7 linked regions of the Kluyveromyces lactis genome follow. The main gene of each other region encodes a partner of the protein of the gene in region 4 in a complex. Links are inferred from orthologs where the notes say so. Each region holds a gene or a part of one and is shown on either strand. Other genes may lie near its edges.

What was found.
Region 1: MRPL10 (region 4) and MHR1 share a complex: the UniProt entries of both Saccharomyces cerevisiae proteins name them as parts of the mitochondrial large ribosomal subunit. The link is inferred for Kluyveromyces lactis from reciprocal best matches to the Saccharomyces cerevisiae genes MRPL10 and MHR1.
Region 2: MRPL10 (region 4) and MRP49 share a complex: the UniProt entries of both Saccharomyces cerevisiae proteins name them as parts of the mitochondrial large ribosomal subunit. The link is inferred for Kluyveromyces lactis from reciprocal best matches to the Saccharomyces cerevisiae genes MRPL10 and MRP49.
Region 3: MRPL10 (region 4) and MRPL15 share a complex: the UniProt entries of both Saccharomyces cerevisiae proteins name them as parts of the mitochondrial large ribosomal subunit. The link is inferred for Kluyveromyces lactis from reciprocal best matches to the Saccharomyces cerevisiae genes MRPL10 and MRPL15.
Region 5: MRPL10 (region 4) and MRPL33 share a complex: the UniProt entries of both Saccharomyces cerevisiae proteins name them as parts of the mitochondrial large ribosomal subunit. The link is inferred for Kluyveromyces lactis from reciprocal best matches to the Saccharomyces cerevisiae genes MRPL10 and MRPL33.
Region 6: MRPL10 (region 4) and MRPL31 share a complex: the UniProt entries of both Saccharomyces cerevisiae proteins name them as parts of the mitochondrial large ribosomal subunit. The link is inferred for Kluyveromyces lactis from reciprocal best matches to the Saccharomyces cerevisiae genes MRPL10 and MRPL31.
Region 7: MRPL10 (region 4) and MRP7 share a complex: the UniProt entries of both Saccharomyces cerevisiae proteins name them as parts of the mitochondrial large ribosomal subunit. The link is inferred for Kluyveromyces lactis from reciprocal best matches to the Saccharomyces cerevisiae genes MRPL10 and MRP7.

The regions. Positions count from the first base shown.
Region 1 is NC_006039.1:893,206-896,373, forward strand, and holds MHR1 (mitochondrial 54S ribosomal protein mL67), read right to left. Parts: upstream 1,391-3,168; coding exon 731-1,390; downstream 1-730. Other genes in the region: GTPase-activating protein NEL1, read left to right, coding at 1,817-3,168. UniProt on the Saccharomyces cerevisiae protein: Component of the mitochondrial ribosome (mitoribosome), a dedicated translation machinery responsible for the synthesis of mitochondrial genome-encoded proteins, including at least some of the essential transmembrane subunits of the mitochondrial respiratory chain.
Region 2 is NC_006038.1:622,679-625,583, reverse strand, and holds MRP49 (mitochondrial 54S ribosomal protein mL61), read left to right. Parts: upstream 1-1,647; coding exon 1,648-2,040; downstream 2,041-2,905. Other genes in the region: KLLA0_B07205g (cAMP-dependent protein kinase), read left to right, coding at 1-978; RKM3 (protein-lysine N-methyltransferase), read left to right, coding at 2,532-2,905. UniProt on the Saccharomyces cerevisiae protein: Component of the mitochondrial ribosome (mitoribosome), a dedicated translation machinery responsible for the synthesis of mitochondrial genome-encoded proteins, including at least some of the essential transmembrane subunits of the mitochondrial respiratory chain.
Region 3 is NC_006039.1:1,527,861-1,531,043, forward strand, and holds MRPL15 (mitochondrial 54S ribosomal protein mL57), read right to left. Parts: upstream 1,436-3,183; coding exon 710-1,435; downstream 1-709. Other genes in the region: KLLA0_C17380g (uncharacterized protein), read left to right, coding at 1-215; RNA-dependent ATPase ROK1, read left to right, coding at 2,081-3,183. UniProt on the Saccharomyces cerevisiae protein: Component of the mitochondrial ribosome (mitoribosome), a dedicated translation machinery responsible for the synthesis of mitochondrial genome-encoded proteins, including at least some of the essential transmembrane subunits of the mitochondrial respiratory chain.
Region 4 is NC_006039.1:1,033,153-1,036,588, reverse strand, and holds MRPL10 (mitochondrial 54S ribosomal protein uL15m), read left to right. Parts: upstream 1-1,714; coding exon 1,715-2,644; downstream 2,645-3,436. Other genes in the region: WSC2 (Wsc2p), read left to right, coding at 1-832; KLLA0_C12111g (uncharacterized protein), read right to left, coding at 2,818-3,436. UniProt on the Saccharomyces cerevisiae protein: Component of the mitochondrial ribosome (mitoribosome), a dedicated translation machinery responsible for the synthesis of mitochondrial genome-encoded proteins, including at least some of the essential transmembrane subunits of the mitochondrial respiratory chain.
Region 5 is NC_006039.1:552,757-555,618, forward strand, and holds MRPL33 (mitochondrial 54S ribosomal protein uL30m), read left to right. Parts: upstream 1-1,901; coding exon 1,902-2,156; downstream 2,157-2,862. Other genes in the region: NGL2 (RNA exonuclease), read right to left, coding at 1-1,287; KLLA0_C06292g (uncharacterized protein), read right to left, coding at 2,356-2,862. UniProt on the Saccharomyces cerevisiae protein: Component of the mitochondrial ribosome (mitoribosome), a dedicated translation machinery responsible for the synthesis of mitochondrial genome-encoded proteins, including at least some of the essential transmembrane subunits of the mitochondrial respiratory chain.
Region 6 is NC_006041.1:1,082,135-1,085,340, reverse strand, and holds MRPL31 (mitochondrial 54S ribosomal protein mL60), read left to right. Parts: upstream 1-2,141; coding exon 2,142-2,531; downstream 2,532-3,206. Other genes in the region: APL2 (Apl2p), read left to right, coding at 1-1,315; CMC1 (Cmc1p), read right to left, coding at 1,493-1,804; kinetochore-associated Ndc80 complex subunit SPC24, read right to left, coding at 2,609-3,178. UniProt on the Saccharomyces cerevisiae protein: Component of the mitochondrial ribosome (mitoribosome), a dedicated translation machinery responsible for the synthesis of mitochondrial genome-encoded proteins, including at least some of the essential transmembrane subunits of the mitochondrial respiratory chain.
Region 7 is NC_006042.1:1,139,605-1,143,305, reverse strand, and holds MRP7 (mitochondrial 54S ribosomal protein bL27m), read left to right. Parts: upstream 1-1,700; coding exon 1,701-2,795; downstream 2,796-3,701. Other genes in the region: SGF29 (Sgf29p), read right to left, coding at 331-1,071; ILV6 (acetolactate synthase regulatory subunit), read right to left, coding at 3,065-3,701. UniProt on the Saccharomyces cerevisiae protein: Component of the mitochondrial ribosome (mitoribosome), a dedicated translation machinery responsible for the synthesis of mitochondrial genome-encoded proteins, including at least some of the essential transmembrane subunits of the mitochondrial respiratory chain.

The sequences.
Region 1 (3,168 bases), about 140 kb from region 4:
ATCTTGCTTCGTATTTTATATAGTTGCTGTCTCTCTTCAGTATGATCAAAAAAAAAGAAACAGTAACTCCAGAATAACTTTTTACCTAATCTCAAGCCTTACCCTTTCAATATTATTGCAGCCTTCTTCGCTTGGTATGCCAACATTAGCCTATACGCTTCGTATAAATACAACCACTGATCTTATAACGCAATACATTTATAACGCAATTCTGTATTCTCGACACCATGTTATGCTAGAAAAACTAAGAAAAACCCGAAGCCTCTAAGGGAAAACAGGATTGTCGTTAAAGAAACACCAGAGAAAACCAGAGAAACGGTGTTAAGGTTTCTCAAATTTGGTCATGTGACATTTTTTTTGCTTTTTCTTTGGTGTCCGGGTTCCTGCTTCTTCTTCCGTTAGGCGTTAATGCATGCATGAGACACATATGGTATGAAGCGGTAGAAAAGTAGAGGAAGTAATATGATGATTACAGAACCTTTGATATTTAGGTTACGTGATGATGGAAACAAGGGAGAAAACTGCTAGTAATCACCTTGTCAAATCAGTTAAACGCCGGTAGTGAGCTGAGGGTTTGTTTATATTATTTACAGAGTCGGATTGTCTGCGGGTTATATATGTACATGTAGTGATTTCTTAAAGACGTGACGAGTGAAGCAGTGAAAGATCTGAGCTCGGCTCAGCTTTTGCAACTGGAAATAGTTTGTATTTGCTTGTTTTCTTTTGTAACTCATAGAGAGATGTTTTGAGCAGCTGACTCCTGTTGTCTCACTCTTGCGAACTCTTCTTTGGCTCTTTCGCCTAGTTCTTTCAAAATTGCACTTTCCTCTCTGGAAACGTTCCCCAAACGTTCTAGTGTTGTGTGATTCAACTCTGGCAATACTGGGTTCCAGTATTTCTCTTTATCCCCCATTCTCCATTCGTCTTCCCAATGGACCTTAATGGACGATTGGACGTCTTTCAACTTTAGGAGACATTCTCGCAAATCGGCAACCGCTTCTTGAGAGTATGTTGGTCTGTATTGCGATGAGTACCATGTGTGGCCGGACTCATTCTTCTTTCTCATGTCTTTTGCCTGTTTACTGAATGTCACATCACGGAGATATCTTAATCTGCACAAATTCTGGTATACTTTTACACTCTTGTCGTAGTCTGGTAGATCAACAACAGCCATACATTTCCAAATATCACGTCTGGTGCTTGGTTTCTTATTCTCCCAGTTGGGTCTTTGGAAATTGGTATCAATTTGCTTCCAAGAAAAAGTCGGGAATTGAGAGTACAGCACTTGTCCACTCTCTAGGTTTCTGAATAAAAAGACTTGTGGTGCATACCCTGCTTTCTGTAGCCAGTTGGCTGGACGGAACTTGGTAATAGCTAAATGCTTGCTCATCTCTTCCTAGTGCCCTATGGTGTCTTCAAGCCTTATTTGTTAACAACAAAAGCCTTGATCCTCAGAGTTCTCTTCTATCTCCAGTGCTATTGATGGACTTCTGAAGAGTTATTTAAATACAATGTGTGCACAAATGTGGTGATCTCTTCTGTAATCAAGCTAAACTAACTATCAGCTTTCTCTTTTTCAAAATTTTTCAGCTTTTTCAGATGCCATAAACAACTTCGTAGAAACACTGAAAATTAAAGAGAATGAACCTAATATATACATTACCCGGATCTTGTGATGATATTGAATTCTCCGCTACCTGCTCTATCTTATCTTGGATCTCATCTCCAGAGAAAGGTTTTCCTATCAGCAGACACGCACAGTAGAGTTATCACCTTCATCCGTCAAGTGTCCGCATATTCCACCATCTAGAACTTGATGTTTGAATTGAATTATGGAGCCGTTCCTACGTCCCGGACAGATTGCTTAGCTAGAGTTCTCGATTGTGGAGATGATAACCGTGGATCGATAAGTGCCATTTGTGAGCCGGACTTGACAATTGACGGGAATTCAAGCCTAGCAAGCAGTGAGAATTATACCAATTGTAAAATCTGTGGAGGGTTTGCGAATTTTTTATGTTCAAGAGATTCACGAGCTGGGTGGTTTTGTTCTTTTTGTAATGCTTATAATGAACTAGGGAATATTCCATTATCATCGTCATACCTAAAACATTTAGGAACTGCTGCTGTGCCTACGCATTCCAAGTTCGCCATAATCATCGATCTTAATTGTGAATTTGAGGAAAATCTAGACGCGTTGAAGATGTTACAATTTGGTTCTGTCCAGTCATTGGCCCTGATCACGATTGAAGATGGGTCTGTCACTATTCATACTGACGGGTCACACATTACCGTAGATGCAGAATCTAGTAGTTGTATCAGCCATCTTAAGAAGCTTGACACAGAATGGTTCATTGCAAAGTATGGGCTTTTAGTGAGGAAGATTTGGACGGACCAAATATCTTTCGGTGCTAAACTCGCGGAACTTCTATGTCAACGGACTAGGTCAAAAAAAAGATGTAGAAGAAACACTGCACTCGCTATTTTTCTAGCACAATGTCTAAACCCATCACAATCCATTGCATTTGTTTTCGGACCCTGTACAGTAGCACCAGGTAAGGTTATCTCAATGGACCGAAAAAATCATATCAGGCAGCATAGAAATATAGAGGAAGACAAGGATGTGAAATATTGGAAACCTTCTAGAGAATTTTACAATAAAATGAGTAAGTCCTTAAAGTTTGCTCCATGCACGGTATTCGTCGCATCCATGGATCAGGTCGGAATATGGGAGATGAGATCCTGTTTGAACAACTTTATTCAATACGAATCCTTCAATGATAGAAATTTCATATATGATTGGCAGGCGTATATTCAAGGGAAAGGATGTTATGAAATAACCAGAATTGTTATCAAAACTTCTAACAAGCTATTACTGAATGGGATCTTTGGTCCAGTCTCATCCTTGAAAGACAAGGACACACATGTATCTGACACTCCAAAGGGCTTTGGAGGGTCTGGAACCTTCCGTTACAAAGGGCCAAGTAGTAATCTACCATCAATTTTGATAAGTTTATCTGTTGATACATCTCGCAGCGCTGCTGAAGCCTTGCAAGAAATGCCAGATAAATTTTCCTTTCAAATGGAATGCTACTATAAACACTTGAATCAAGAATACGTTTCTGTAGAAACGAAATTTATTCCCAGTACAACCTTACCAGGTGAACATCT
Region 2 (2,905 bases), on a different chromosome or scaffold from region 4:
CTCAAGGCAAGAGTTACTTCTGGAAAATATGCATTATATGATTTTCAGATTCTGAGAACTTTGGGTACAGGTTCGTTTGGTAGAGTTCATTTGGTGAGATCCAATCACAACGGCAGGTTCTATGCAATGAAAGTTTTGAAAAAAAACACCGTTGTCAAATTGAAACAAGTGGAGCATACCAACGATGAAAGAAATATGCTAAGTATAGTATCCCATCCTTTCATAATTAGAATGTGGGGAACTTTCCAGGACTCACAGCAATTGTTTATGATCATGGATTACATCGAAGGTGGTGAACTATTCTCTCTTTTAAGGAAGTCTCAAAGGTTCCCAAACCCGGTCGCGAAGTTTTATGCAGCAGAAGTTTGTCTTGCGTTGGAATACCTACATTCTAAAGGCATCATTTACAGAGATTTGAAACCAGAAAATATCCTTTTAGATAAGAACGGACATATCAAGTTAACTGATTTCGGGTTCGCTAAATATGTTCCTGATGTCACTTACACTCTCTGTGGAACACCGGACTATATCGCACCTGAAGTGGTAAGCACAAAACCTTACAACAAATCTGTGGATTGGTGGAGTTTTGGTGTTTTAATCTACGAAATGTTAGCAGGATATACACCTTTCTACGATTCAAACACAATTAAGACCTATGAGAATATTCTAAATGCTCCAGTAAGATTCCCACCATTTTTCCATTCTGATGCTCAAGATCTAATATCGAAACTCATCACAAGAGACTTAAGTCAACGGCTAGGTAATTTACAAAATGGAAGTGAGGACGTAAAGAATCATCCGTGGTTCAGCGAGGTTGTGTGGGAAAAACTACTCTGCAAAAACATTGAAACTCCATATGAACCTCCTATTCAGGCCGGACAAGGCGATACCTCTCAATACGATAGGTATCCAGAGGAAGAGGTTAATTATGGCATTCAAGGCGAAGATCCGTACCATAGTATTTTCACCAACTTTTAGCAGGCATACTTGCTCATGAAATTCAGATATCAACATGCCTCTTATCTTGCATCTACACAATATGTAAACTTTAACACGCCTTTCCCCCCGTTAGTCCCTTTTCTTTTTTTTTTTGTTTTGATATATCGGCTCATTGCCTTCAGAAACGCTGCCGTTATTTGATACATTCCTTTGAATGACCATCGTACAATACTAGATGGATTGATGTACGCACTTCCAATTCAAAATTCGTTTCATTCGTTTTGCTGTACTCTCCAATGGATGCTCGATGCAATAATCTTATTTTTGGAGTATTTATCTATCTATAATCAATGGCATTTACATATTTTGAATGCATGTATAAGACTTCATCACAAGTCCTTCCCTCACGATCCATGCTACATAAATTGTAAACTGGGGTAAGTCATGGCACATTCATTTATGTTTTGGACGTAACTTGCTTCTGTCGAATGATTTCACGTGACCAATGAATTTTTTTCCAAACTATTGAAAATTCAAAAAGTTCAGTGGACATGTCCAGTTGAAATGAGAATGATTTTACGAAATAGATGATTGAAGTGATATTGCTGAAAGTGAAGGGTCCTGGTTGCTCTACTTTATCGTCAAGGTTTATTTTACCGATTGGATACTTATACTCATTGTCACTCTAGAGAAGATCATTAATAAATAATGTCAGGAATCGTTAAACAACAAAAATTTTTGAACAAGATCAGTGCGACTACCGTGAAACCTCAAATTATATTAGATGTATCGAAGTACAGTGCATTGAATGTGAAGTTCCAGTATCAGAATTTCAATGGCCATATGGGTGCCCGTAAGTTCTGGCACGAGTTTTTGCCTTCTCTGCAGTTTTACAACCCTGCGTTGCCAATCAATGTGACCAGAATTAGAAACGATGATAAAAAAGTCGATGTACCATGCATACTAGAAGCTATTGGATCCGATGGGAAGGTTGTAGCTGAAGTTTCAATGAAGCACAAACACTCATCTGAAATTATGGATGAAGTGCTACAGAAATTGGAACACAAAAGAGTACCCCAGGAAGAAATAATAAAGGTATGAGCTCCGACCTTTGACAAAGAAAAACAAACAAACTGGAATACCTAAATATACTACTTTCAAAGTTAGGTCCTGTACATATGTATATAATAAGATACTTTTCATCCGATTTGATGTCTTATTCAAATGACATATCCTTTTGAGATGAGTTGACTCTCTGCCCAAGGATCGTCAAGACATTCAAGAACACGCGAGAAGAAGATTTAAAACGCCAGTATATGGTTACCAGGTGGTTATTTAACTTGAATTTCAGAACGCCTCTTACATCTAATTGTCATTAAGACATCTTACATTAACAGCGACTTCTTCATCTGCGGAAATGGTTTTCTGCGTATTGTTCAGTTGAAATTTTTCAATCTCGAAAATGATAAATCGCTTCAGATCTCATCATCTCATCTCATCTCATCGGTTGACCACAGAAATTATCAACACCCCAAAGAGGCATATAGTAGGGGCATTATTCACAGGTGAAGACTCTCAACCCAACAACACGAATGTCTAATACAGACTCCAGTGATACAGATGATATTCTAACATTTGTACTGGAATCCAAGGGGTTTTTCCACACTGCCGGCTGTGAGATTAGAAGATCTGATTATGGTGGTTTAGGAGTGTTTGCATTAAAGGATTTGAAGGAGGACACTGTACTCCTTAGGATTCCGAAATCTTCTGTTTTCACTGCAGAAAATAGTAGCATTGCCAATCTACTGGTTGATAGCGAGGTAAAAGGCATGTTGGCATTAAACATTGCATATATTTATGAAGTATTCATATTTCAAGTTGAAAGCCATTGGTACAAATATTTGAAGAGCATTTCACACAGACAAAATGGGAGTCTATATCTTCCACCGGCATACTGGGAAGATAA
Region 3 (3,183 bases), about 490 kb from region 4:
GTCGTCGTAGAATGACCATACTTTGTCATCTTAAACCAGACGGTATTGTAGTAGCGCACGAGGGGGACGAAGAGTTCGCAGATAAGCATTTCAAACAACGTTTAGCTGGTATTGCATTTGATGTAGCAAAGTGTACCAAAGAATTGGTAAAGACTGTGGAAGAAGCTAGTCTTAAGACCAACATTGAGTATTTAAATGCTAAGCTTTCCAAGTAAATTACCAGCAAAAAACATCCCTTCTATGAAGTTATATATGTATTTATATACATGTATTGTATTATGTACTTTTCTTAATCTGTTTTTATTTTGTATGTTAACATTTAATTAATGATAGATTTAGTTGTAAATTTATGTACGTCTATATTTCTAGAGATACATGAGATATATACAGTGCGCGCGTTTCTTTCGAGGTTCATTTTTAATTGAAGTGTGACGATGGAGTGTCGTTAAAAGGTTATGCTTTTCATGCTTTTGGTAAATTCATTATAATAAAACGTTGAAATTGAGCAGGGATGAAAGAGTAGATTAAAACACCACATTGACCAAGAGCTGTGATTGAAACTTCCGTTTCGAAATATATATATACAAGTTTTGAAAGCTCTTTCCCAACTCCGATGGAGACCATTCACTCGAGTGCTTTTTATTGATGTCGAAGTCTATTGTGTATTCCATTTCTCTTTCTTTCCTGTCGTGTAAAATTAGACATAATATTATAACTTCTCGGTCGTATCCCTGTTTGCTAACAAACTTTCAGATATCTTCGTTAGGGAATCACTATTGTCGCTGAATAGTTCATGCAACACGTATTCGGTGGCCTTGTCTTGACCGTGCAATAGATAGACACTGCCGACCACAGAATTTAGCACAGTTTGTAGCACGGTATACTCACCGTTATATTTGTGACTTTTTTGAGTGTCTCGTTTGTTCCAAAACACTAATTTATCTAGGTTTCTCCTTTGCAAAAATTCAGCCGTACTCTGTTTGGATATTAACATTTTAGAACTTCCCTTCCCAAGCATACCGAAATTTAGTCCGTTAATAACAGGTTCAGACTGTACGCTTTGTGATAGTTGCCTTTCAGAAACAGGTAGACCCAAGGAATGAAGACAAGCTTGATATTTCACAAAATGACCACCGATAATAGACAATTTCTGATTGTATGGTTTAATACCTTGGGCAAACGACTTGTGAGTCAAACATTGTGTAATGATGTCGTCTGGCAAGTCAATACCATATTTTTCCAAATTCAAACCTTGCTTAACAGTAGATACATGGCCATCCTTGACAAGAGAATCATAGTGCAAACCGTGTGGATTCTTCAAAGACTCAACTGGGTCTCTTTTCAAACCACGTACCCTAGTCCCAACGTGTAGATAAGAACCATTACGCACGCCGAATTTTGTGCTTAAGTTAAGACCAATTTTGGTTAAGGACATTATTCCAGAAGTAAAAAAATACTGTCTGAATGGTTTCTGTCTGGTATTTTCACAATTCAATCTTCCTCGACCGAATATCAACAGATTGTAATTACACAGGACACAAATATTAGAATTATTGAATCTTAATTCTAACAGTTTAGTCCTTTTAACTACGATTCAAACTGTTTCTTTGTAGTTTTTCGACTCGAGGCAGCGATCCAAATTTTGAAATTTTTCAAAATTTTTCAGATCACTCCAAACGAGGTCATCGCTGTGTCTAAGTGCTATCTTGTATGATGGGAATACATGCAATATCAAGGCATTAGGTACTGTTATCAAGGGAATATGGTCATTATGGGCTGGTATTATGAGGGCTTAATACCAGCTGTATCTTAAAGTAAGCTTTGCTGCATCTTTATGCCTTGAGAAGTACTTTTATATCGATTTTTACACTTATTGTACCCTAAGTTTTGTGAAAAGAAACGCTTCAGTAAGATCAATTTTAATTGAAAAAACTGCAATTAGATGTAGGCGATGAGATGAGATGAGATGAGATGAGAGAGTAGTAAGAGATTGATTATATCACTCACAGTGGTTTACTATCGAATTTATTCTCATTACTAAGTAACTTCTCACAGGCCAATACTAGCACCGCTAATTAACATGGATATCTTTAGAGTCTTGACTCGTGGAGCTAGCATAAGGAAGAATGGTGATTCTAATAGAACACAGTCTGCAGACTTTAGCATGGCTAATGAAAAGAAGAGTAAGACAGCTGGCAGCTCAAGTACACCAGCTAGAGATGAACAACAATTGACTAAGGAGTTGGATTTTTTCCGTAATAAGAAAATCATGAATAAGGTAAAGTCTGAGTCAACCAAAGGTGAAGGTGAAGACGAAGTACAAGAAGATAATCAAGAAGAAGACGAAGATCATGCTGATGACGAGACTGAGTTATCCGGGAAAATTATCACGAAACAAGATGCGTTAAAGTTACGTAAATCTTATCAAGGGAATGTTTCAGGGAATAGTGTTCCTTTGCCCATCGGTTCTTTTGAAGACTTGATCACAAGGTTCCAATTCGATAAGAGATTGTTAAACAACCTCATAGAAAATAACTTCACTGAACCAACTCCGATTCAAAGTGAATCTATACCGATTTTGTTGCATGAACGTGACATGATCGCTTGTGCTCCCACAGGTTCTGGTAAAACGTTGGCATTTTTGATCCCACTACTGCAACAGATAATCAACGATAAAACCACAGTTGGTCTTAAAGGTTTAATTATATCCCCAACAAAAGAACTTGCGAACCAGATCTTCATCGAATGTTCCAAATTAGCGAACAAGATATACTTGGACAAGAAAAGACCTCTGCAAGTTGCCCTACTTTCAAAATCATTAAGCTCAAAATTAAAGAATAAAGTTATCAGTGAGGACAAGTACGATATTATCATTTCTACTCCCTTGAGATTGATTACTGTGGTTCAGGAAGAAGCCTTGAATTTGGGTAAAGTGAAACATTTAATATTTGATGAAGCGGATAAATTATTCGACAAGACATTTGTGGAACAAACTGATGATATCTTGAGTTCATGTACTGATCCACATCTCCGTAAAACAATGTTCTCTGCCACTATACCATCCAACGTGGAGGAAATCGCCCAAACCATCATGAACGATCCTATCAGAGTCATTATCGGTCACAAAGAAGCAGCAAATATCAACATTGATCAACAATTAGTATTCTGTGGTAACGAGGAAGG
Region 4 (3,436 bases):
AACTTCTTCCAGTACCTCATCCAGTGCAACCTCAACAGATTCTTCAAGCACTGCCGCTACAACGTCATCTTCTGATACTTCAGGCACTTCTTCTAGCACTGATAGTACGCTTTCATCTTTGTCTAGCTCCATCGCCTCTACTACCAGTCATTCAAAAGTTGTAACAACACAGGTTTCAGTCATTACTTTAAATGGTGAGAGTAGGAGTATTGTTGCCGTTACAACTACAAGTACCGTCGTGGCAACCACAGCCGAAGGTACCAACACTGCAAACTCTAAAACGGAGTCAAATAAATCTTCATCATTGTCTAATGGTGCTATCGCTGGTATTGTTGTGGGTGTTGTTTTGGGTGTGTTACTGATCGCAGCAATTATCATTTTCTTCATCTGGCAACAGCGAAAGAAAAGTAAACGGTCAGACTTCGAGGAAAGTAAGCATTACCAACCTTATTCGTTTGGTCAAGAAGAAGACATCGTAGTCCCACCAGTTACCGGAGGTGGATTTGGCGCTGCTGCTACTTTACCAAACTCTCATTCAGCATCATCATCCTCTGATAGATCTGGTGTAAGTCAAAATAGGGAGAAAAGATTGGATAATAATGGAAACGAAATCAGTGATTCGCAAATCGTTAGTCCGTTTGGAGAAACTATGGATCAACCAGACCTAACACAACCTCCTGTACGTCCGACAATGGGAAATCCTAGATTCAGCAATGGTTCTTTACCAGATGTAACTCAACAAAGGCGACCGCTAAGAATCGCCAATCCAGATGAGCTGGATGATGAGGATACAGAATTCAATTCGATCATCGAAAATCTCAGGGGAGATTGATCCTGATACAATATAACATCATCTTTTTAACACATTTCGCTAAGATAATAGCATGATATACCCAATATCATCCCCTTGTTGTTGTCAAACAAAACAAACGCCAAAAGGAAATATTCCAAATATAAAACATCAACTAAGGCCCACAATAAGCCATGTTCCATACTCACTACTGATACTTGATACCCCTAATGAAAACTATCAACTGAGGATCAGTTAATTGTCTAACACTATAAACAAGACAAGTCACAAAATATATCGAAACGATTTATGTTATACTGATAAGTTGGGCTTTCACATATGTACATATATAACGTTATAATACTCATTTAATTTCTTCACATTTTACTTCAAGGTATCTTTATAATGGTTAATTGTCATGTTTACTGTCGGGAATTATTGTGCTACATTTTCATCTAGGGTAATTGTTTAAGGGATCCAAAAAAATGCTTCCAACCAGAGTCGAACTGATGATCTCCACATTACTAGTGTGGCGCCTTACCAACTTGGCCATAGAAGCTGTTTCTTGTCATAAAAAGAATTTACCACTATATACTCCTACGAGATTATTGCCTGCTACCAATTCTTTTCTGGTGGACCTAACCTATTTTGAACTGAGGAATACGCAGTTTATAATGTTACAGCTACATTTTTGAAAAACGTGATGCTAAAATAATAGTAGGTTTACTGAAATAGTTTCGGCTGTTTCAATTTGTCAATCTGCTAGGCGCATCTAAACACTTACATCAGCATTGCATACCCTCTTATCGTCTCCAAGCTCCCTCTGTGTCCTAGCGAATCTCAGCATTTTAAAAGGTTACCCGAATACCTAATTTCGAAAATTTTTTAGAATGAATATGGTTAACTTACAAGAAATTACTGGAGATGATTTGGATATTCAATGAATCTACTGGATATCTACTATTATCGATATTTAATAGCCCTATCTCGAGGTCTCACAATACTAGCACGATGTTTTCGATCAACAAAGTGGTGAATCCCTTTGGATCACTTATACAGAGATCATTTGTACGCCAAATCACGATCCTTGGTGGTTTAAAACCTGGTGAAGGCTCTAAGAAGAACTACAAAAGATTGGGTAGAGGTCCATCCAGTGGCAAAGGTAAGACTGCTGGTAGAGGTCAAAAGGGTCAAAAGGCCCGTGGTTATGTAAAATCATGGTTTGAAGGTGGTCAAACCCCAATCTTCAAATTGTTCCCAAAGCTAGGGTTCACCAACGTAACATCACTAAAATTGAAAGAATTAAACCTTGATAGAATAACGTGGTTCCACCAAAAGGGTCGCCTACATTTGGAGCCAGGTGAAACCTTGACGATGAAAAAGATGAAAGAAATCGGTTTGGTTACCGGCCCGATCAAAGATGGTATTAAGATTCTAGGTGATGGTAAATTCTCTTATAATCTTCCAATCAAGATTGAAGCTACTAGAGCTTCACAGGATGCAATTGAGGCAATCGAACATGCAGGCGGAAGTTTCACTGCTCGTTATTTCAACCGTCTTGGTCTAAGAGCCCATTTATCACCACATTGGTTCCTAGAAAAGTACGGAAGAGTTCCTCTACAAGCTAGACCCACAAAGAGGAAGGATATTGAATATTACTGTAACGAAGAAAAGAGAGGTTATTTGATTATGGAAAATGACCCATACTATCAACTTTTGCAGAAATCCAAAGATGAAGGCGGTAAAAATTTGGTTGCTCGGAAGACCAAGAAGTCCAAGCTTGAGTTGCAATTAGAGCAACTTGAGAACGATTTTGCTCCTGCTTCTCCAAATTCTGAAATTAAATCAAACTGAACATCATATAGCAATATAGAAATGCCCTGTATATAATACACATCATTCAACGCCATTTCTCCAGATTTATACACCATATCAATCAAATTGATATCTGTATTCACAAGTTGTAGCAACTTTTGTCTATTTAATGCTCTAAAGTCTAAAAATATAAGAATGAGCTTGTCTCACTTTTACACATCGTTTTGTGGAGTAGAAGACTCTGTGTTTTTGTTGTCCAACAATCTTTCTTCGAGAACCTGTAGGGCTAACTTTTTCCTTCTTTCTTCCGCTTCAGAGCCTTCAACAGGCTTAGCACCCCTCTTTTGAGCCAAAATGTTAGCTTGTTCGATATCGTATACTCTAAACGGAGTTGCAATACGCCAATCAACAATAAACTTCTGGTAAAGGTAATCAAATATTGGCTCAAGTACTGGTTTGACTAAATCCGGGAAGAAATATATCAATTGGAATGTCTCAGAGGCATCTCCTACCACTTCAAATTCAGCATCCTCAGCCATCGAAGCAGGTAGCCTCTGATAGAATCTCAAGTAGAAATAACAGGTGAAAAAAGTGATCCAAATTGATAATAACTGAGAGAAGTGGTGGAACCACAGAAGTTGCACAAACGAAAGCACAAGTAGAGTAAATATTGGCAGGAGTTTAAATCTGAAATTCTTGGAAATGAAAGGTAGATTCTTAGTCTCGAAAATGGTAGTTTCTGGGAATAACTGTTTGTAGATAATAGGGAACCCCACCAAAATTGTATAATTACCATCCAATGGTAAATCCAACCTTATTGCTGACGAAAAC
Region 5 (2,862 bases), about 480 kb from region 4:
GTTGTCCAATCCTGAGTTTTCAGGATGAACTTTCGAGTAAGCAATTGAATACAAGGATATAGCGCGCATGTCAATGTCATTATGAAGGGTTTTCATGTTCTCACATAACTGCTTTTGCTCTTCGTTGCCGGAAAAAGATTCTGGCACGGGGGTCTCAGGTTGACCTTTACCAAATTTTTCAATGTTGCCGCCTTCTTCTCCTTCTCCTTCATCCCCATCTCTTAGTTTAGAGAAGGTAAATGAAGTGCTGCACTCTATAACTGTTTTAGCCCTTCCGGTATATTCCACTGGTTTTGATGTGATGGACAAATATGGGGCATCAAACGGCTGAGAATTGAAATCGCCACAGAAAAATGCTGGCCAATGTGAATTATCACCGTCTTTTTCGTTTTGAAGAACGTTGATTCGATTCTGGAATTCTTTTACTTTTTTTAGTACAATATAGCATTGTCTTGTCCGTTCATATGTGCCAAATGGATGCCAAAACAAATGTGTGGTACCAATAATTATACCACTGACTTTGGTGTCTGGATATTTTTCTAGCACTTTCTTTTTAAACTTCAAAGAAAGCAACATGCCAACATTTTTGGTAGTTGTTCTTGGTTCAATGGCACCTGTTGTTTCTTTGTCGTAGTCAATTAACATCTTATCTGTCATATCAAATAGATCTTCTTTCCAAGCAATTAATACTCCGTGGTTTTTGGTAGGATTAAAATGGAATTGACACATGTAACCTAGTTTTGTGAACTCCATTTTCCAGAAAGACTTGTATTGAACCGTGTCAATTTCTTGCAAACACAGTACGTCAACATTGTAATATTTGAATTCATTGAGTAAAACTTGAGATCTTTTAAACCATTTAACAGCATTTCCGCTCGTAGGAAACAGTGTTCTTCTAATCAAAGCTTGGGCAAGACAATTATACGTCATTATACTGATTGGACATACCTCTCTCGTCGATTGGCCTGATGAATCTCGAGGAACAGCTAACATCGGCCTTTTGATAAATCTAAGGTCTGCGGGCAATTTTGGATCTATACCTTGAGCAATAAGAGCCTCTTTTTTTGCTATTTTCGCAGCTTCTCTCTTAGCTCGCATCTCAGCGATATACTCTGGAGTGATCTCATTCAAGGCCTTGCCTTTTTTCTTACTTTTCTTGTCCTTTACTTTATTCTTACCTTCTACCTTCAACTGGTCCATCCCATCAGTAATCGATAGCTTTTTTGCTTGTTCCACAAGCTCTTTTGGAACGTCTTTGACGCCGGTGTCTTGCGTACTACCAGCCATATTGGCTCAAATTATTACTTCTACTTTGCAGTGTATAGTGGCGATATAAACCTTAGAGAGATCTAACCAACCATGGCGTTAAGAGCTTGTTAATATGATATATATATATATTATTCAATCGGGCATAAATATTGGAAAAAAAGAAATGACATATATATATATATATATATACATAACCAAGCAAATGCCCCTCCTAAGACAATTTCAATGCAACTTCATATTCAGGAAGAAATATTCAAACAGCGAGATATAATCTTGAGATCTTTATATGCAATTCCTGGTTCTTTCTCAGTAGGTAGCACTTTCCTGCGACGGTTTGTGAGAAGTGCCCAAATGACATACGCGATGAGCTGCTAGACAATATACATCACATGATATCACTTTATACGTTTTGATGCTATTTGAAAAATCAATGTACGTTGGCTATTAATGGTTTGAATACCCAGTTAATCTCTTCGATAATGATGCACAAGATCTCTTAAAAGAGCGTTTTTTTTTGACATAGTTCTCTATATTGTCAACGAAACTTACGACCGAGGAAATTATACTTCATTACTGGTATTAGCGAACGGTTTCTAAAAGCATAGCTATCATAATAATTTTCAAAGATAGCCATGGTTTTCTACAGAATTACATTACAGAGGTCAGTCATTGGTACTCCACAGAAGACTAGGGCAGTGGTCAAGAGTTTAGGACTCGGAAAAAGAGGATCTGTCGCATATCAACCAGCTACACCATCTATTGCAGGTGCTGTCGCTCAGATAAAGGAGCTTGTGAGCGTTGAGCTTGCCGATAAAGCTTTAAGTAAGGCAGAACAGCGTGAGCTAAGAAAATCAAATCCTGGATTTACTGTCGAAAAGAGAGTATAGAAAGGATCATACCAGACAATATAACAAACAAAGCAATGTACCAGAAACATTTAACAGAGAAGAAACTGGGCTCACAATGAACATCTTCTGTTTTACATAAAGAAAAGGATATTAGGATTTTCATGTATATAGAGATCAAAGAAATATTAATCTTATTCTAATGAGGTATTTGAGAGTATCATATACCAAACGTCTTTATTTAGAAGACACCGGTGACTTCTCTGGTGAGAATATTCCTAGGCTGTTTCACGTATTCGTCGTCACCATCTTCACCATATTCATCATCGTCAAATGCCACCGAGAACGAATCTACAATTCTGAAGATATCATTTTTATTCATAGCTTTTCCATCAAAACTTAGTTCTATACTGTCATTTGCCGAAAAGAATTGATTTTCTTGAGCCAGCAATTGATCAACTCTATTGTACAAATGTTTTGTTTTAGGTCTTTGTGGTAACCTTTGAACACTCATATTCTGGGAGATATATTTGCTCAAAACAGCTGGTAAAGCGTCCAATGTGGTATAACCGAATCTATTGTCATTACAAAGTTTGAATGCTTCAGCTGATTCATGGGTTTCGTTGATCAACTTTGTTATCACGGGAGAAATTTCCATGTCTGATTTACTTGATATTGGAACATCTATCTTGTAAATGATCTTAGAACTTTGCATTGTATGATACTCTAGTTTTACATTGATCTTTGG
Region 6 (3,206 bases), on a different chromosome or scaffold from region 4:
CGTAAATCCATCAGTGGTCTTGATCAGTGTTAAATGTATACTCATACATCTACCAAATTTGAACACAGTCCATGACTCTATATACAACAAGTTATCAACTGCATTGGTCTCACTAATGTCGACCCCAGTGGAGATCCAATATGTTGCTTTGAGAAATATAAGAATTATTTTGGATGCCTTCCCAAACTTGTTAAGGAAAGAGTTAAGAATATTCTATGTCAAATTTAATGATCCATTGTACGTGAAGATAGAGAAATTAGACATCTTGCTCAGATTAGTGCCCGTGGATAATTTGAAACATTGCCAGATGCTTTTCAACGAATTAAAAGAATATGCAAAGGACTTTGATCATGAATTCGTGACCAAAGCTATCCAATCCATCTCACAATTGGCCATTAAAGTCTCGAACGGAGGTGAAGATACGAATAACAAGTTTTTGAATATGGTCATGGAAGAATTCGTTTCGATTGTCCAGGAGAGAGAAGAGTTTAGGGATATATTGATGAGATGCGTATGCGACATGTTACGTTATGACAGTGACAACAATCTTATCAAGGAAACAAGTAAGAATGAGTTGGGTGCCATAATTTCCTCATGGCAAGATATCGATACCATATTTACATCTGATCTAGGCAGTTGTAACTACATCTGGTTTATCACCAACTATACAAACGAAAATTTGGAAACTAAGCTTGAACCACTGGTAGAAGTTTTCGATGAATTAGGATCCCTAACTCAAATGTCCCTTCTAATGGGTGTAGTGAAATGCCATAATGCAGTCTCAAGTGCTTTCTTACAGAAGATCTTGGAACTTTGTACGACAGACGTCCACGATTTGGACGTTAGAGACATGGCCATGATGTACTGGCGGTGTCTATCGATCGACAACGGTGATCAAATCATCAACCAATTATTTGACAAGCATGAAATTCCTAAATTGCATTCTACCTTGGACCACTTCTCCAAGGAAACATTACAAAGTCTACTTCAAGAGCTCTCCACTCTATCCTCTGTGTATTTCAAACCAATCTCGCAGATGCAACGCCGTCCCAACGAAGTTCACATCATTAAGGATAAGGATATTGATGAATTAAAGGGAATGGCCACGAACGAGATCCTGAAAAACATGAACGATGATGTACTACTTGACATGGGTGATAGCTCTGCCACGAGAAGTACAGGCGTCCTGGACGAACTAAATGATCTTTTCGATATCACTGGTGATATGGGGAAAGTAAACATTTCACAGAAAACCAATAATAACAACAACAACACCTCGAATTCCCATGCAACCGATCTTCTAGACTTAATGTAAACTAGTTTACTCTTTTGAACACCTGTACAAACTATAATTATAATGGGAAACAATGAAGCAGATAAACTTCAATCATGGATGTGCCTTTCTAAAATGTTAATTTATTATGGTGCAGTATCTACTACTATATACAAGTAACCCCAGTGGCATGTCATGTCATGTCATATCATGTCAACTTTATTCCTTTTGTTTCTTGAGAAGATCCTCAAGTCTCTCAATCTTACGTTCCACTATCAAGTCACGTTGACGATCCAGATTAGAATCCTTCTGGTATGATAATATACATTTGCGCATAGCGTCACGAGGTTCGTTACACGCTGGGAAAAGCTTCAATCCATGAATCTTTGAACATTCGACCATGGCCTCCACGTATTCTACACATTGTGCATATGCAAATTTCTTCAAATTCTGACGAGCTTCTTTCTCCTCGGTAGGGTTCAATACCCAAATTGGTAATCTTTGATTATGCTTTCCAACGCCCTCTGACATTTCTAAATGAATAATCTATCTTTGTGGTGCAGTATTCCAGTACTATAAGAACTTCTGACCTATGGTTATGGACACAGCAGCAGCTACAAATGACAATACGCTGGCTGTTCCCCAAAATCGTTTAAATCAGTTGACATTGTTCATTTGCATAATGTTGAGATTTAAAGCTTTTTCATGGATACTTTGAAAAATTTCGAAGGTTTAAAAGATTTAATACCATGAATTACGGTGGGAAATTGGTAAAAGCCAGCCAGTAGCACCGTTATACAAACTGTTTAAGCAGCTCGTTAGGTTCTGTCATACCCGGGTCAATTGAATATCTTTGTTTCATAGAGAAATGTTCGGTGCATTCAGAGCTACACAACCTGCATTAGGTGGATTATTATGGAAAGTCCCATGGCGTATGTCTGGTCCTCAAAAAGCAAGACAAAGAGACCGTTTGAGAAGCGTTGATGATGTTCTTTCAACTCTTAAGTTAGGTCTTCATCTTGAAAGAAACCATATGGCGGTTTCTGAGGGATCTCAGCTGAATCTACGTAAGATTAAACCTCGTGTGAAGAGCTTACGTATTTTAGACAAGGCTCAGTATTTCCCAAAGGAACCGGAGATGTCTGCTACTGATAAGTACAGTGTATTCAACAGGTACTCGAAGGGATATAGAAAGGGTATACATAAAGTTCCCAAATGGACCAAGCTTTCCATCAGAAGAAACCCACGTCATTTCTGATTTGGATGAATCATCATTAAAAACTTCTATTATTACATAGTAAGTAGCCCCTGTACATAGTGAATAAAATCAAGGTATCATAGTTCATCCCAGATGTTGTGAGATGATGATGATGATGATAATGGACGGGCTTCATTCCTTAGATCGAGCAATTGGTCATTATATAGTGCTACGTCAAGGGAATGGAACAACTTCAACTTTAGCACACGTATCTTGTCATCTTTACCGATCGGTTCCTCATCAATCGTGTGGGCAGCATCAGTATCGTCATTGAGTAATTGTTTCTGTGTTTCTACGACCTTTTGAATACCCTCTTGTATCGTATCTCGAAGCTGGTTAATTTCCTGTACCAGTTTATCTATGTCTTGTTGCAATTTCGGTATGTTTAATTCGTCCTCTACGCGTTTCACTTGGCTTGTTTGCTCCTGAAAATTCTTTTTAAGTGCCTGCACTTTAGTTTGCTGTCTTTGCAGCTGTGATTGCAATTGTTTCATGAGCTCATTGTGGTGTGTTTGTTTCTCAGCCATCAATTTCGTGAGCTGTCTCATATTACTCTTGATCTCTTTAATATTAGAGACATCGCTTTCAATGATGAAATTGGACCGGGTTTGCTGTAAAAGCTCTACTGGATCATTGAGCCGTGACATTGGGTGCTGCAATATCCACTGTTGCTCA
Region 7 (3,701 bases), on a different chromosome or scaffold from region 4:
TAAAGGCAAAATTGGAGCCTTCATCAGTTTTAGAACCAGATTCACTAACAATAGCACAAAACACAGTTTTGTTATTGATTTAAGTGTCACTTTGTTAAAAAGGTACACCATGAATCATATACAAAATATTCGACAATAAGAAACTAGAACTATGGTATTTAATGTCTGTCGCGTCTGATGCGATAAATCACAAACAGGCACCGCTACTAGTTCCTACATTATCTCAATGTGATACGGTTTATTTAATGTTCTTTCATAATTTTTTTTTCTTTATTGTTACAGGCTATGGAAAATTACATACATTTCGTGAACGTGATATAATTAAGAAACTCATCGTCTAGAGGGGAAAGGAAGAACTAATCTTCTTTCCACCTCAGTCTCCTTGTCTATTTCCTCTTCACCGTCGAATCGTAGCTTACATGTCCCATCTCTTTTGCTTCCGCAAACAATAGCTGGATAGAAAGTCGTTGTTTCTGGATATCTTGCCAAAACTTTTGTATTCGCTGGATAATTCGGAGTCTGGGTTCTTTTCATAGTCACGGGCGGGATCAAGAGGATCTCTTTCGAGTTACATTTGAATATACCACCTGGTTTCCCAAATTCATCGGGTTCTGGATCTTTCACTTCAAACCGGAGTCCGTCCCCAGAAACTTTTGTGCATATGCACTGGATCCATTCGCCAGTCTTTTTAGATTTATATGCAACTTCGGAACCAACCTCAATTGGTTCACTTGGGTTGAATTGACTGGTCCAATGTGATCTACCAACAACACTCGATTCAGGGATATGCGTCGAACTGGATTCCTCCTTTAATATAGGTTCCTCTTCCACTGGATAATTATCTAATATGTATGAAATGTTCTCTACCAAATCTCTGCAGTAATTTCTCATCTTTTCATTTACAGACTGACGAGCCTCTAATTTCTCATGGATATCAGCCAATTGATTCAAATTCATATTCTGGAAATTCATATTCTTCGGATCTAAAGACTCAAACCCCGCAATATCTCCTATTTTATATAGATCTTGTAATTGAGTCACGGCAAGACCCCATCTATCTTCCGTTGCCATTTTCGCTAGAATCACTGATATATTTTGTTTTATTTTTTTTTTATCTATGGGCTGTCGGTTCTTAGTATTCCTATTTCAATTAGATAATATGGGCTTCACCAGCACGATAATTAATTTGGGAAACTTCTATAAATGGACGTCCTGTTTATTCAAACGTAAATCTGAAAGGTGAAGACTTCTTTTCGATGCAAGCAGTGTCGGTTTCTTGATGTTTTGTACTTAGAGAAATATGAGTTTTTCGTGCTGGAAGAGAACATCAAAACGTATATAGTGATGGTAGATCTTTAATTGGAACCTCAGTTTCGAATAACTTTGACGTGAATTAGACGTTTACTCCTTCTCAAGCATGAAAAATTCACTATGGTATCGAAAGAACTCTCAGCAATAGATGAAATTGGTAAAATGTATAAATCAATACTTTCAACTCTTAAACAGTCAGTTACACGAACCTTCGAAGGGCTATATCTTGTTGGATTTCGTTGTTACCCTACCTTACAATCCGCCATACTGTGGAAAATTTTTGTCACTAAAATCCTATCTTAAATACATTAAGTACAGATACACGCAGAAATACAGTTACTGTGACATTGCTTGATACTGTTCGGACCAGGCCTACGAAACAACGCATAATGTTCTCATCTTCGTGGCAACAAGTTCCCAAGTTTGTGGTGCAGCAGGTGCGTACTGCAACCAAGCGTGCAGCAGGTTCTCGTACCAGTATGAAGGACTCTGCTGGTCGTAGATTGGGTCCAAAAAAATACGAGGGTCAAGCCACTCAAGTTGGTGAGATCATCATGAGACAACGTGGTACCAAGTTTTATCCTGGTGAAAATGTAGGCATCGGTAAAGATCATACGCTTTTCGCTTTGGAGCCGGGTTATGTGAGATACTATTTGGATCCATTTCATCCAGGTAAGAAATTCATTGGTGTATCATTATACAAGGATGTAAAGCTTCCTTTGCCGCATTTCGAACCACGTTTGAGAAGATTCGGCAAGGCCATCATTGAGGATGAAGAGAAAGCCATTGCAGAAGAGAACGCTTTACCAAGAAAGATTTATTTGCTGAAGGATGAATTGATCAAGAAACAGCAAGAACGTGAGATTAAACGTGAAGAGTTGAAGGCAGAATACAGCAAGATAATTTCAGATCTGAAAGTTGAGCTGGATCAACAAGAACTTGCGTTTGCATTACCATATTTGCTCAGATGGAGAACTTGTTTGAAGAATGGGTTCAATGAATCCGATGCCCGATTTAATTCGTACTACTATTTGGAACAAGAACTTAAATTGAAGATGAGAAACCAAGAAAAATCTAAGTTGGACGACAAACTAACATTGTTGAAACAGGTCTCGACCAAATTGAATGAATCATTGTCATTTAACAACAAGCTTGAATTAACTAAATACATTTCTCCAGAAGAAAAGAATACTCTAAAGACACAACTAATTACTGATTTGAAGGCAATTGATATTAAGGACAAGAACAGTAAGAAGCAAGTACTAGCCAAGTTTACTGATGCAAAGAACTTCTTGACGTTATCTGAAGAGGTGAGACTACGCAGAAAATTCTTGAAGCCAGTGAAACCAGAAACAGAATTGAAGAAATTGGAAGAACCACTCAAACCTTCCAAGAAAAATCTAACCACCAGACGTTACAACTACGAACAAAACACGATAGATGTCATTACAAGACCAAAGACCGATTTCTTGAGCAAATTGTAAATCTTCCCCAAGTCGTTACGTAACAAACCATTTAGAGCCTTGTACATATTAACAAAAGAACCACAACAATCATCATAGTTTAAACTGAAAAAAACGAAAGTTTTTTAGAGACTATATATCATTTGGAAAGGTTAATTCCATATTATATCGTTAACGTATTTAATTTGTCTATATGTGTGAGACAAAATCCAAAACATACTCTTACATTACTATTTTTTTGATATTGGATTGTTTTGAGGTACAAAACTATGGCAGGTGAGCCCTTTGGATCAACCAGGAGGCAATTGAGAGATATCAACGATGTCATTCATCTTGCTTTGAGCATCATCTTCATCACCGACAGATAAATGGGTTCTTGGTAGAGCCATCATACCTGATCTTGCCACTTCCAAGATACCGAAAGGTTCCACAAGTTTCAAGAATGCAGAGATACGGGATGGTTTAGCACATAATTCCACAATACAACTTTGTTCAGCGATATCAACAATCTTACCACCAAAGTTACCAGTCAAGTTAGAGATGTCGTTTAAATGTTCATGCTTCAATCTCAATACTTGGGACAGTGGAAGGTTGGAAGGATGGAATTGCTGTTGTCTTATTCTTTCAACGGTATCAGTATTTTCATCTTGTTCATGGTGATGAATCAAATCCTCGAAGTATTCAGCACCCAACAAAGAGATTCTTGTCATCAACAATTCTCTTTCTATGATGGTGGAATGAGAGTAATCCAACACGACAAATACTGGTACCAAATCTTCGATTTGTCTTCTGGCTTGTTCGATGACACCGTCTTGACCTTGCAACACAATGGTCATACGGGATAAATCTTTCACTTCAGTGTTACAGACCACAAGGGAATCGATATTGAAGCCTCTTGCAGCTAGAGTACCTGAGACTAACGATAGA